Linked DNA regions of Macaca mulatta. The protein of the gene in region 2 interacts with the protein of the main gene of each other region in a pairwise test. Links are inferred from orthologs where the notes say so. Each region holds a gene or a part of one and is shown on either strand. Other genes may lie near its edges.

The links. The genes of interacting proteins can lie anywhere in the genome.
Region 1: the proteins of ZNF446 (region 2) and PGBD1 interact in binary tests that used the Homo sapiens proteins (3 or more experiments, as listed by UniProt). The two-hybrid records come from large-scale screens. The link is inferred for Macaca mulatta from reciprocal best matches to the Homo sapiens genes ZNF446 and PGBD1.
Region 3: the proteins of ZNF446 (region 2) and ZNF496 interact in binary tests that used the Homo sapiens proteins (3 or more experiments, as listed by UniProt). The two-hybrid records come from large-scale screens. The link is inferred for Macaca mulatta from reciprocal best matches to the Homo sapiens genes ZNF446 and ZNF496.

What each region holds. Positions count from the first base shown.
Region 1 is NC_133409.1:155,062,731-155,066,676, reverse strand, and holds the start of PGBD1 (piggyBac transposable element-derived protein 1), read left to right. Parts: upstream 1-1,146; 5' UTR 1,147-1,753; intron 1,754-1,808; exon of another isoform or gene 1,809-3,611; 5' UTR 3,612-3,650; coding exon 3,651-3,946.
Region 2 is NC_133424.1:70,612,843-70,616,004, reverse strand, and holds the end of ZNF446 (zinc finger protein 446), read right to left. Parts: intron 2,058-3,162; coding exon 1,973-2,057; intron 1,782-1,972; coding exon 1,692-1,781; intron 1,565-1,691; coding exon 1,014-1,564; 3' UTR 501-1,013; downstream 1-500. UniProt on the Homo sapiens protein: May be involved in transcriptional regulation.
Region 3 is NC_133406.1:1,707,508-1,711,498, reverse strand, and holds the start of ZNF496 (zinc finger protein 496), read right to left. Parts: upstream 2,801-3,991; 5' UTR 2,723-2,800; intron 2,581-2,722; 5' UTR 2,365-2,580; intron 1,004-2,364; 5' UTR 890-1,003; intron 541-889; 5' UTR 504-540; coding exon 114-503; intron 1-113. UniProt on the Homo sapiens protein: DNA-binding transcription factor that can both act as an activator and a repressor.

The DNA.
Region 1 (3,946 bases), on a different chromosome or scaffold from region 2:
GACTCAATCTCAAAAAAAAGACTTTGTTTCATGTACAGAATTATTTAAACTGTATAAAATTAGCTCTATGTGAGTAAGGTATATATGAAACAAATGAATTTCATGTTTAGACTTGGGCCTCATCCCTAAGATATTTCATAATGTATGTATATATTCCAAAATCTGAAATTGGAAACACTTCTGGCCCCAAGCATTTCAGATAAGGGATACTCAACTTGTTGTTGAAATCGTACAATATGTAGCTTTTCAGATTGGATTCTTTCACTTTCTAGTATGCACTAAAATTTTCTCCATGTCTTTTCATGCCTCGATAGCTCATTTTTTTCATTTTTTTCTTGTTTTCTTTTTCTTTTTTCTTGTTTTCTTATAAACAGATGTTTATAGCAGCTTTATTCATAATTGCCAAAACTCAGTGGGTAAATGAATAAATAATGGGTCTGTTTTTAAAAGAGTGTTTTATATTTTTACTATTGAACATCTTTTCACATGTTAATTTGTCACTTACCTTGTTTTGTGTATAGTAACATTCATATCCTTTACTGATTTTTCTACTAAAGTCTCCTTTTACTCTTAAACAGAAGTGCCCTTAAAAATCAAATAGGGAACTTGCATATCAACATTTTAAATGCATATGTCCTTTGGCTGATCAGTTCTAATATGTGGCATTTATCCTAGAAATACATTCTTAAAAGAATGTAAAGGTATTGAATGATGTTCCCTCTAGCATGGCTTTTAAAGAAAAAATATAACCTAAGTATGCATCAATAGGATAGTTAAGTAAATTATGGAACACCCATACAATATTACTTAGCTGTTAAAGAATAAGCTGATCTGTGAAGATCTCCAAGCTGTCTTAACCGAAAAGAGCTAAGGTGCAAAATTACATTATGATACCATAAGTGTTTTTAAATGTATAAATGCTTATTCACTAAACAAAATGTTTATTACATGCTACTGTGTGACAGGTAGTGTCCTAGATAAATATGCACAAAATACAATGGTTAACTCTAAAGAGTGGGACATTTTTCGTTTTATGGTCCTTCTGCAACTTGACTTTTTTATTGTACGTATATTATGTATACTTAAAATAATTTGTACAGCTTACTATAATGGTCTTTTAATTGATCTGTTTCGCCTCCTAACCAGTGATGACCCCGAAGACAGACATTTACCACTCTGTTGGTTTTTTATTGAAATGATGTACATAAATGTGGGGCGTGCTTGCACCGTCCGGATGGGCCTGAGGTCCGGCAGCGGAGAGCGACCTGGGCGGGGCGGGAGGTGGCAGTGGGGGTCCTCCCGGATCACCAGAGAGACGAGCGGCCGTGCTCCTAGAGAGGCAAGGAACCCGCCAGACTCCGCCACTCGGCTGCGGGCGCGGCGAGTGGAGAAGCTTTTGTGCTGGCCCAGCTGCCGGAGGCGCCGGCGACACCCATCAGCCCCGCCAGCCCGCCAGTAGCACGGCTTGGGCTCTGGGGAAACCGGCGCTCTCGACTGGGCAGCCCCGGGCCTCTGCGCTCCCTCGGGAGCCTTTCACGAGGTCGGCTACGTCTTTGTTGTGCGCGTTCCTGAACTTTTGGTCCATTAACCAACAATTAGACACGCAGGTATTCAGTGCCTGGCGCGGTGCTAGATGCTGGGTGTAATCTCAGAAAAATACATTCTGGGGTGCGCCTGAGGGTGCTGGCTGCTGGCATCTCAGGTGCTTTACGTGCATTCGTGAAGAAGTCCATCAGTATTTGTTGAATACCAGGTACGTGCCGGGCTTGTAGAGTCTATGCAGAGATAAACTCCTGTCCTCAAGAACCCGGGTGGGGATGGGCTGGGTGATCTGTAATACGAGATGGAGGAGATGAAGGTTGGGAGCAGTTTTCCATGGGAACACCCATCTCTATCTGTGTGGCTTACTTTTCCTGTCTATATGTTAGGGTTAGGGGTGGCCAGGGAAGGTTTCACATAGAACATTTGCGCTGGCCCTTGGGATTTTACCCTTAGAAGGGGGGTCCTGACTGTATAGAGTGGGTGGAAAAAAAAATTGAGTACTTAGCATGGCAGTGAGATAAGGAATTTGGGAAGACCATGGCTTTCTTGAAAGTAGGAACTAAGTCTTTTATTCCAGAGTTAGCTTTATGCCTGGAAAACAATGAGATGCTCCACAAATGTTTATTGAGTGACAAACAAATCAGCAAAATCCAGTAAAGATTAGATCCTGGAGAGTTTGAGTTTACTTCAACGAGTTTAATGAAAACTTTGTATGTGTTTATGTGTGTGTAAGGTATGTTGAATATGGTCAGAATTGTGCTTTAGGGAATATTAATCCAGTGACCATAGAAGCGGGGAATTGGGCAGGAATACCATAACATTATTGTGACAGTGAATGAAAATGATAGTAAAATAATAAGGAAAGAATGGCTGCAAGAGGCATTTTTAAGAATTGACTTGATTCACTGATTGTATATAGAGGCTGTTTAAAAGACTGAATGCATGGAAGATGATGGTGATGCCAGTAGAAATGGAGAAATACGGAGTGAATGCAGCTTTGAGGAACTCTGATCTTAGTTTGAGATCTGTTGAAATTATAGTGCAGGAGAAGCCCACAGCTGCTGGCATTTCAAGATGTGGGTTTGGAGTGCAAAAAGCAAGCTGGAGCCAAAGATTTGAGTCTTCTTGGGAACAGAGATATATTGAAAGTGTGACTAAGGAGATCACAAAGGAAAAAATGAAGAGAGGGAAGAAAAGAACTTGATGCATTTCTACTGTTTCAGTTATGTGTTGTTGCATCAAAAATCAAACTCTAAACTTAGTGGCTGAAAACAAGCTCAGCTTATTGTTCCTCAGGATTCTGCAGGTTGACTGGGTAGTTCTACTGGTCTCACCTGGAGTTACTAATAGAGCTGCATTCCGCTGGTGAATTATTTGAGCACTAGGCCCGGCTGGGTTTTAGCTTGGTCATTTTGGTTCTCATCCACATGACCTCTGTCTAGCTAGCTTGGGCCTCTCACAGCATGGCAGTCTTATGGCAGTGAACCAAGAGCTACAGCAGCACTCTCTCTCTTACAATGTCATTTCTGCCGTATTCCATTGGTCAAAGCAAGTCATAGGCCAGAACAGATTCAAGGGAAGGAAAAATAGACTCCACCCCTTGATGAGAACAGTGGCAAAATCTCATCACAAAAGGTATTTGAGGATGGGAGACTTTGGAAACAGTCTATTACACCTACATTTAAAGCGGAATATTCAGTGAGAGTTACACAGATATAGATGACCTTTGAGACTGTATTATTTGCCCATGAAGGCAGCCATCTGCCTCCTCAATGGGTAAAATGATCCCTTCTCCCCAGCTAAAGTGCAAGCTTCTTGAGCATTCTTATTGCTAACGCTTCTTCCCTCATATCCTACATCCCTTACCTCTGGACTCAGACCCTTTAGTACTAGTTCAAAACATACTTCTGATTCATTTCACTGAGAAATAGAAGGAAGCAGGCTCAGCTTTTGAGCACTACCTACAGTGGGTACAAAAATATAAGTAGATTACATACAGTTTTGAAGGTCTTAGAATTTGTGTGTTGCTGATCAATTCTTATGCCTCAGATCTCTATTTCTGAACACAGACCCCCAAGCTAAGTGAAGCTTTAGCCTCTAAACTCAACATGTATGAAGCTTTGCCAGGCCCTGCTCCTGAAAATGAAGATGGCCTTGTGAAAGTGAAGGAGGAAGATCCCACCTGGGAGCAGGTGTGCAACTCACAGGAGAGCAGCTCCTACACTCAGGAGATTTACCGCCTGCGCTTTCGGCAGTTCTGCTACCAGGAGGCTCATGGACCCCGGGAAGCTCTGGCCCAACTCCGAGAACTTTGTCATCAATGGCTGAGACCCGAGATGCACACCAAGGAACAGATAATGGAACTGCTGGTGCTGGAGCAGTTCCTGACCATCCTGCCCAAGGA
Region 2 (3,162 bases):
GGGAGGCGAGTCCCCAGTGACTGCCCGGAGATCCGGTGCTTCCCGGGGAGGCGAGTCCCCAGTGACTGCCCGGAGATCCGGTGCTTCCCGGGGAGGCGAGTCCCCAGTGACTGCCCGGAGATCCGGTGCTTCCCAGGGAGCTGACCCTTTGCCCTCCTGCTGCACGACCAGCTAACTATGGAGGCTGCGACCTGACCTGGAAGTACCCATGGCCTTGGCAACACCTGCTTGCAGCCCCTCTTCTCAGAGGTCCCCCTTGTCCAGCCGTGCTTGGAAAGGAAATCCCCTTTGTGTCTACTCAAGCTGGGACTGATGAGTTCCAAGGCCAGTGAGGCTGGTGAGTGATGTGGACGGCTAAGGAGCAAGGGAGGCTGGGGACCTGGGTTCTGGGGCAACAGAGGTTTGGCCATTCCGGGACCAACTGCCCTGTGGCTCCAGCTACTGGGCAGAGACAGCAAACTGCCTATTTTCCAACCAGCAGAAGCCAGAAATCAGGATTCTTATTCAGAAACTCTGTATTATGGAAGTGGAATTTATGTTAAAATTCTCACACACACATGGAGGAGAAACGGAAGCCAATTGGGCTTTCCGGGGTCTTCTGCCCTCCACACTGAAACCTCAGGCCCAGCCTCTGCACAGAGGGGTGGGAAGGCACAGTTTGTGAACACCCACCTGAGGCAAGGAGGTCCCAGAGAGGGAGTGCTGTCATCCCAGGGCCATGTCGCGGGGAGGGAGGGAGCCTGGTGCTTGGCAGTCACCCCACAGGCACTGGTCACCCACAGAAAGGAACTCAGACCTCCCTCCAGGAGGTGGGGCAAGGAGGGAGGGAGCAGCTCCTTTTCCTTGCACCCAGGTCTTTTGGGGGAGACCAGACCAGGGGCAGGGAACTGGCTTAGGACCCCCTGTTCACTCCGGCATCCCCTTCTGCCTCCAGAGTCTTCTACTGGTGCCCCAGAGGCTGCATCCAGGCCGCGAGAACAGCGAGGCCCCGAGTGACTGCGCCACGTGGCTGCTCATGGAGCCTCCGGCCGGTGGCCCTTGCGGTGGATGACCAGCTGCGACTTCCAGTCGAAGGCGCGGCCACAGTCACTGCAGAAGTGGCGCCGCTGGCCCGTGTGGCCCTTGCGGTGGATGACCAGCTGCGACTTCCAGCTGAAGCTGCACCCGCACTCCTCACATGGGTAGCTCCGGGGGCCTGCGAGTGAATGTCGGGGGTGGCGCGGAAAGGCCAGCTCCCCTTGCGGTGGCTTCTCTGTGCCTTCCCCGGCGGCTAGCCCTGGGGACTGCGCACCTGGCCCACGCGTGTGTGTCCGGTGGTGGATGACGAACACTGACTTCCAGTCAAAGCCGCGGCCACACTGCTCGCACGTGTAGGGCTTCCTAGGGGTGGTACCCGGCTCCAGTCTCGTCTCTGTGGGTGTGGGCTGAGTGGGCACTGGTGGTGTCCCTGGGCGCGCAGTGGGGGCAGGAGTGGTGGCCTCAGGCAGGCCCTCCCAGGCTGCAGGCCCTGGGCCCTGGGGCGGCTGGGCCTCTGGGCAGCCGGGTGGACCCTCACTCTCATTTCCTGGGGGCAGGGGCAAACCAGGTGAGTTCCGGCACTCGGCACCCCCTCCCTCAGGCTTGTGGCTGTGGCACAAGCTCCCATCCCCCTAAGAGTGGGTGGCTCAGGCTGGATGGTGTGGGGCACTCACCTGAGCGCAGGCTTCTGCAGACGCCTGTCCCCATGAGCAGCATCCCCAGCTCTGACTGGGCCTGTGCCTCTGGCTGGTGGGGCGGTAACCCTGCCCGGGTGGGGGGCACAGTTAGGCGCAGGGTTTGCATGAAGGAGGGGTGGGGTGGGTTCTGGCAGGAGACAGGGTGTTCCTTTGGAAGGTGGGAGAGCTGGGTAGGGCTGGTAACAAAGAGTCCCTGCCCAGCTAGGGTGGGTGCAGGCCCCAGGGAGGGGGGCGGGGTGGGGCTGGCTGGTCCTCACCCAGGGAGACCACCGTGCCGTACTTCTCCAGCATCGTATCCCAGTACAGTTCCTTCTGTGACCGGTCCAGCAGCCCCCACTCCTCCTGCGGATGTGGCCCATCACTGTAGGTGTCCTTCTACTCCTCCCCTGCCCTATCTGGTTCACATTCTTTTTTTTTTTTTGAGACGGAGTCTCGCTCTGTCGCCCAGGCTGGAGTGCAGTGGCGCGATCTCGGCTCACTGCAAGCTCCGCCTCCCGGGTTCACGCCATTCTCCTGCCTCAGCCTCCCGAGTAGCTGGGACTACAGGCGCCCACAACCGCGCCCGGCTAATTTTTTTGTGTGTGTTTTTTAGTAGAGACGGGGTTTCACCGTGTTAGCCAGGATGGTCTCGATCTCCTGACCTTGTGATCCGCCCGCCTCGGCCTCCCAAAGTGCTGGGATTACAGGCGTGAGCCACCGCGCCCGGCCTAGTTCACATTCTTACTACCCGGGGGAGTCAGCAGGTTACCTATGCCTCATCTGCCCCTCCTGCTGAGAATGATCTCGAGGTGGGTGTTTGTTAAGTGCTAGGGTCCTCTTTCAGATCACCTGACCAGTGCGGCTGCCAGCTCTCATCCCCCTCCACTACCCCACCCTGCTGAGAGGGAGGGCCTGGCAGCATTACAGGGACCTGAGTGAGTTTATCAAGGAATGAACTCCCTGCTTGGGGGTCAGCTCTCCTTGCCTCCTGAGTCCCACCATCTGGGGCTTTGCTGGGTTGGGAAAATCATCCTGAGGGACAAGCTGTGGCAAGTCCAGGCGCAGGAAGGTGGCAGCTGTGAGGAGCCACAGCCAGAGATGGTGCTGGCTGGACGTGAGGACACTGTGGGAAGTGCAGCCTACCCACCCTGGCTCACTTTCTGATTGTGCCATGGGGCTGTGGAGGGAGCCTGGAAGGACTTCTCAGCCTTGAAACACATCTCAACCAGCAATGCTGCTGAAGCTCCCAGTGGAGCTGTTAGAAGCAGAGGAGTTGGGAGAGGAAAAGGCCTTGCTGCCCACACTTGGGAACGAAGTGATCCAGGTAGCAGGGGCCTCAAGCTGAGCTTCCAGGGCCAACAGGTGGCCTCTGAGGAAACCCCTGGGAGAGAAGGGACTTTGGGCATGTCCCAGGAAGAGTGTCTCCATCTGGTCTCAGGTGTGGGGGAGTCCTGCCACAGCTGGTCAT
Region 3 (3,991 bases), on a different chromosome or scaffold from region 2:
AAGTACACGGCTCTCAGTGGAATTCCTCATTCCCTGGCCAGTGCATACATGGCCCAGTCAAAGTGTCTAAGCACCAGATCTCTACCCGTCCCAGCCCCACCCCTTCTACTCACCCACTGCCAGGGTCTCCCAGGCTCCCGTTCCAGTGCCTCCACCGCGGCCACAGCCTGCTCTCCACTCTCAGGCTCCTGCGCCCGCACCCAGCTCTGGATCTCCCGGGGCAGGATGGCCAGGAACTGCTCTAGCACCAGCAGCTCCAGAATCTGCTCCTTGGTGTGCCTCTCAGGCCGCAGCCAGCCCCGGCACAGGTCCCAGAGGCGTTGCAGGGCCTCCCGGGGGCCCGCCGCCTCCTGGTAGCGGAAACGGCGGAAGAGGCGCCGAGAAGACTCGGGACTGGGAAGCTCCCCTTGGGGGCTAGGGTTCTCTCCAGGTGGGCTCCTCATTTTCCTGGGCTCCTCACTTTCCTTCGGAGCCAAGACTCGGGGGCACAGGGCTGTGGGCATGATGGGATTTGATGGGGGTCAGCAGCAGAAGACGACCCTATTTCCAAACAGAAATCACTGGCTTCAGTGTTCTGGTCTCCTGTGGTCATTTCTGGGGGACAGTGACAAGGAAACTGTCAATGCCCTCAGAGACCAGCCCTTTGGAGAAGCCCTGGGAAAGGTAGGGAGTGTCGGTGTGGCTGGTCTTTACACACAGAATGAAACAGACAGAAAGATACCCTCCCCCCATCAGTACCATTACGTGTGGATTCCCGTAAGCGGGTGACTGGATGAACAAGGCAGGAAATCTGGGAGAAAGTGGTGGCATTTCAACGTGACACTGGTGTTTTGAGCATCCCAGGAAACCAACAGCGCCACATGCAGATGTAATCAAGACTCTCTGGTACCTTAAGTGGCTGGGTCCTCCGGGAGACCCGAGATGGGCAGGCCAAGCAGGCCACTATATTGAAGCTCCGCAGCCGAAGTCACTGTTCTTGTTCTCAAGACCTTTACAAATAGAGCTGGAAAGACAAAGACAGACATGCATCGGATGAGCCTTCCAGCACATCCAGGAATGGAAAATCCATCCTGCTGGTGGCAGAGGGCTGATGGTGCTCAGTGCTGGATGGACAACCCAGCCAGAATCAGCTTTGCCCAACAGAGTCTGCAACGGGAGGCAGGGAAAATACCCAGACACAGGGAACATCACATGAGACAGCCACATGCAGTCCACGGGGGACAAATAACACTGCATTTAGAAATATCAGTGGTTTCCTATGAACCTTCTGCCAACACTTGCCTGACGTTCAACCTCGCCTCCACCCTCTTGTCTATCCTTGACCTCTTCAAACCACATTCAAGGCAACGGCACACCCGCGAAAGCCGTTCCTCGGCCAGGACAGGAGAGTGGGTCCGTCACGGCACAGCTCAGCCCTCAAAGAACCCCTGGACACTGCAGCTGCCACACCCTCAAGGTGGGCCTCAGGGGTCCCTCCACCTCCCCGCTGGTGTGCAGACAACTAGCCGACACATACAGGGTGGCAAAAGAGACCAGCAACCAGTATACCTGGCTGGTGTTCATGACTCGCACCCTAGAACACTGACCCGTGAAAGGGCACATGGGGACACTCACGGTGCCCTTCTCTGCCATCAGGCCTCTGTGATCCTTAGGACCGGCAGTGCCTGCCACTCCTCCATCTGCAGGAGGTTGTCCAGCGTGGCCGCGCCTTATCCTCCAACAGCTCACAAGGGGGACTCGGGCCTCACTCCCATTTCACAGGAAGACAAGTGATGCCAGAAAAGCTACGAAACAACTCAGTGGTTCCAGAAACACCCACTGCTCTGAATCTCCTTGCTTTCCAAAGTAACAACACATACAGAAACGCATATGGGGGCCGTGGAGGCGTCGGGCTGGACGCATTACAGGGCTCCCCACCACCGGATTCCCTTCCAAGGCGGCTCCGGCATCTGGAGCCCGGGGTGGGCCCCGCCCGCCCTGCTCGGCGGCCCCCTGCGGCGCCCATCACACACCTGCAGCGCCCAGGACTACTCAGGTCCGCCCCCCCGGAGCACCGGCGCCCACCCGGGCTGCCACTCGGATCGTCTCCAACCAGACGGCCGCGTCCGTCTTTGTCACGGCGGCACCTGGCGCGTCGGAGGCTCGGAGGAGACGCCTGATGAATGAACTAACGTGAGTGAGGCGGAGGAGGGCCCCGCAGGGGCGGAGCGAGCTCCCAGCCGTTCGCGGAGGAGGGACCGAGCCGGATCGGCAGAAGGGGAAGGAGAAGGTCGCTGCGGGCCAGGGAAGGGGGAGCGCGCCCTCCGCGCCCTCGGTCTCCCTCACACGCGCGTCTCCCGTCTCGCCGGCTCCGGGGCTCCTCACCTCACAGCCCGGAGCTCCCTCCCGGCGTCCGGCCGAAAGCCCTCCTGTGGCGGCGGAAGTCCAGGGCAGCCGTCCTCATCCTCCCGGCCCGCCCGGCCGGGCGTACTCGCTGAGGCGGCGTCTCCGCAGGCGCCCGGCTCCTTTCCCGGCCCGTCCAGACCGCGTCTCCCGACCATCCGGAACGCCACGGCTCGGCTCGGGGGCAAATGGAGGCGCCTGAAAAACAATGGTGTTGCTTTCTCCCCCGCCCGCACCTTCCTGAGCGCTGGGCTCTGGGCCGGGAGGCGGCGCCGCGGAGGCCGGGCGCGGGCCGAGGAGGGCGGGGCGGGGCCGGCCGCGGGAGCCGGGGTGCACTCACCGCCGCGACTCGTCCCTGTTGGCGGGCGGCGCAGGCCTGGCCACTGCCGGAGCCCGCCGGACGCCGAGGAAAGGAAAGGCCGGAGCCCTCCGGCTCCCTCCCCTGGGACACTTCCTGCTCCGCTCTAGGACCGGGGAGGTCTCCGCATCTCAGTGGTTCGCTCCCCCGCCCCCCGGCCGAGGTGTGCGCTGGGGGTGACATCCGACACCCCCGGCCCGCCCAGCTCCGCGCGCGCCTGGGCCTGGCCGCCGGGCCGGGGGCTTTGTGGGTCAGCCACGTCGCCGCGCCCGGTCCTCCCCGCGGGCCCGCCGGTCCGGAAAGTCAGCCCGGGGCTCTTTTCTCCGCTGTTCTCCTTCTCCGGCGCCCCCAGGACACGCGGGCCGGTGGACGCCCGGAACGGCCGACCGGGAGGCGCGGCTGGGATGGAAGCTGGAATTGGGGGTGCGGGATGGAGCGGAGGGAGGAGGCCCCGCGCGCCGTCGGCCGCCTCATTTCAGACGCCCCCTGCGAGCCCCAGCCAGCCGAATTCCGGGCCGCCCAGCCCCTCCCGTCGCTGCGGGACGCCAAAGGTAGCGCTCGCACCCGCGCCTTCCGGGCCTGGCGCCCACGTGCGGAGTCCCCGCGTTAGGAAAGGCCGCGCAGCCGGAGGCCACTCCGAGCCTCGGGACGACCCTGAGGGATGCGCAGGGGGTCTGCCGTGAGTCCTGGCCCTGAGTGGGGGTCACGGGGCTCGCAGAAGTGAACACGGTTACCGCTGTGCGCAGTGGCGGAGGGAGAGGATGAGGGACTCTGACCCAAGGTCATGTGGCAGTGAGGGGCAAGCAGGAATGAGGGCCTCCGGACCCCACCCTGAGACAGGGCTGCTGGCTGCTACACTGTGCTGAATATAGCCCAAATTCTGACATGGGTCGTCCCCGGGGAGTGGTCATTTTTCAGGCTCCAGAGCTTGAGAGAAAGTGTGAACCCGGTCCCTGGGCAGGCCTGATTCCCATGGCCCCTTCTCCATCTGCTCTGCACCGAAATTGGATTCTCCCACGCAGAAGGGGAGAAGGTTCTCCATCTTCCAGAGGGTAGCTACTGCCCGTTGCTCCGATTTCCTTAGGATCCCCTTTCAAGGGCAAGCAGAAGGAAATCGGTTTCCCCAGAGAAAGTGGCCCGGCTGAGTAAGTGGGGACAAGGTGGTTGGACTGAGGCACAGGATCCTTTAGCTCTGTTACTCTTCTAATCCCGTGGCCCTGGGCACCACCACTTCCTCCTCTGAACTGCTGG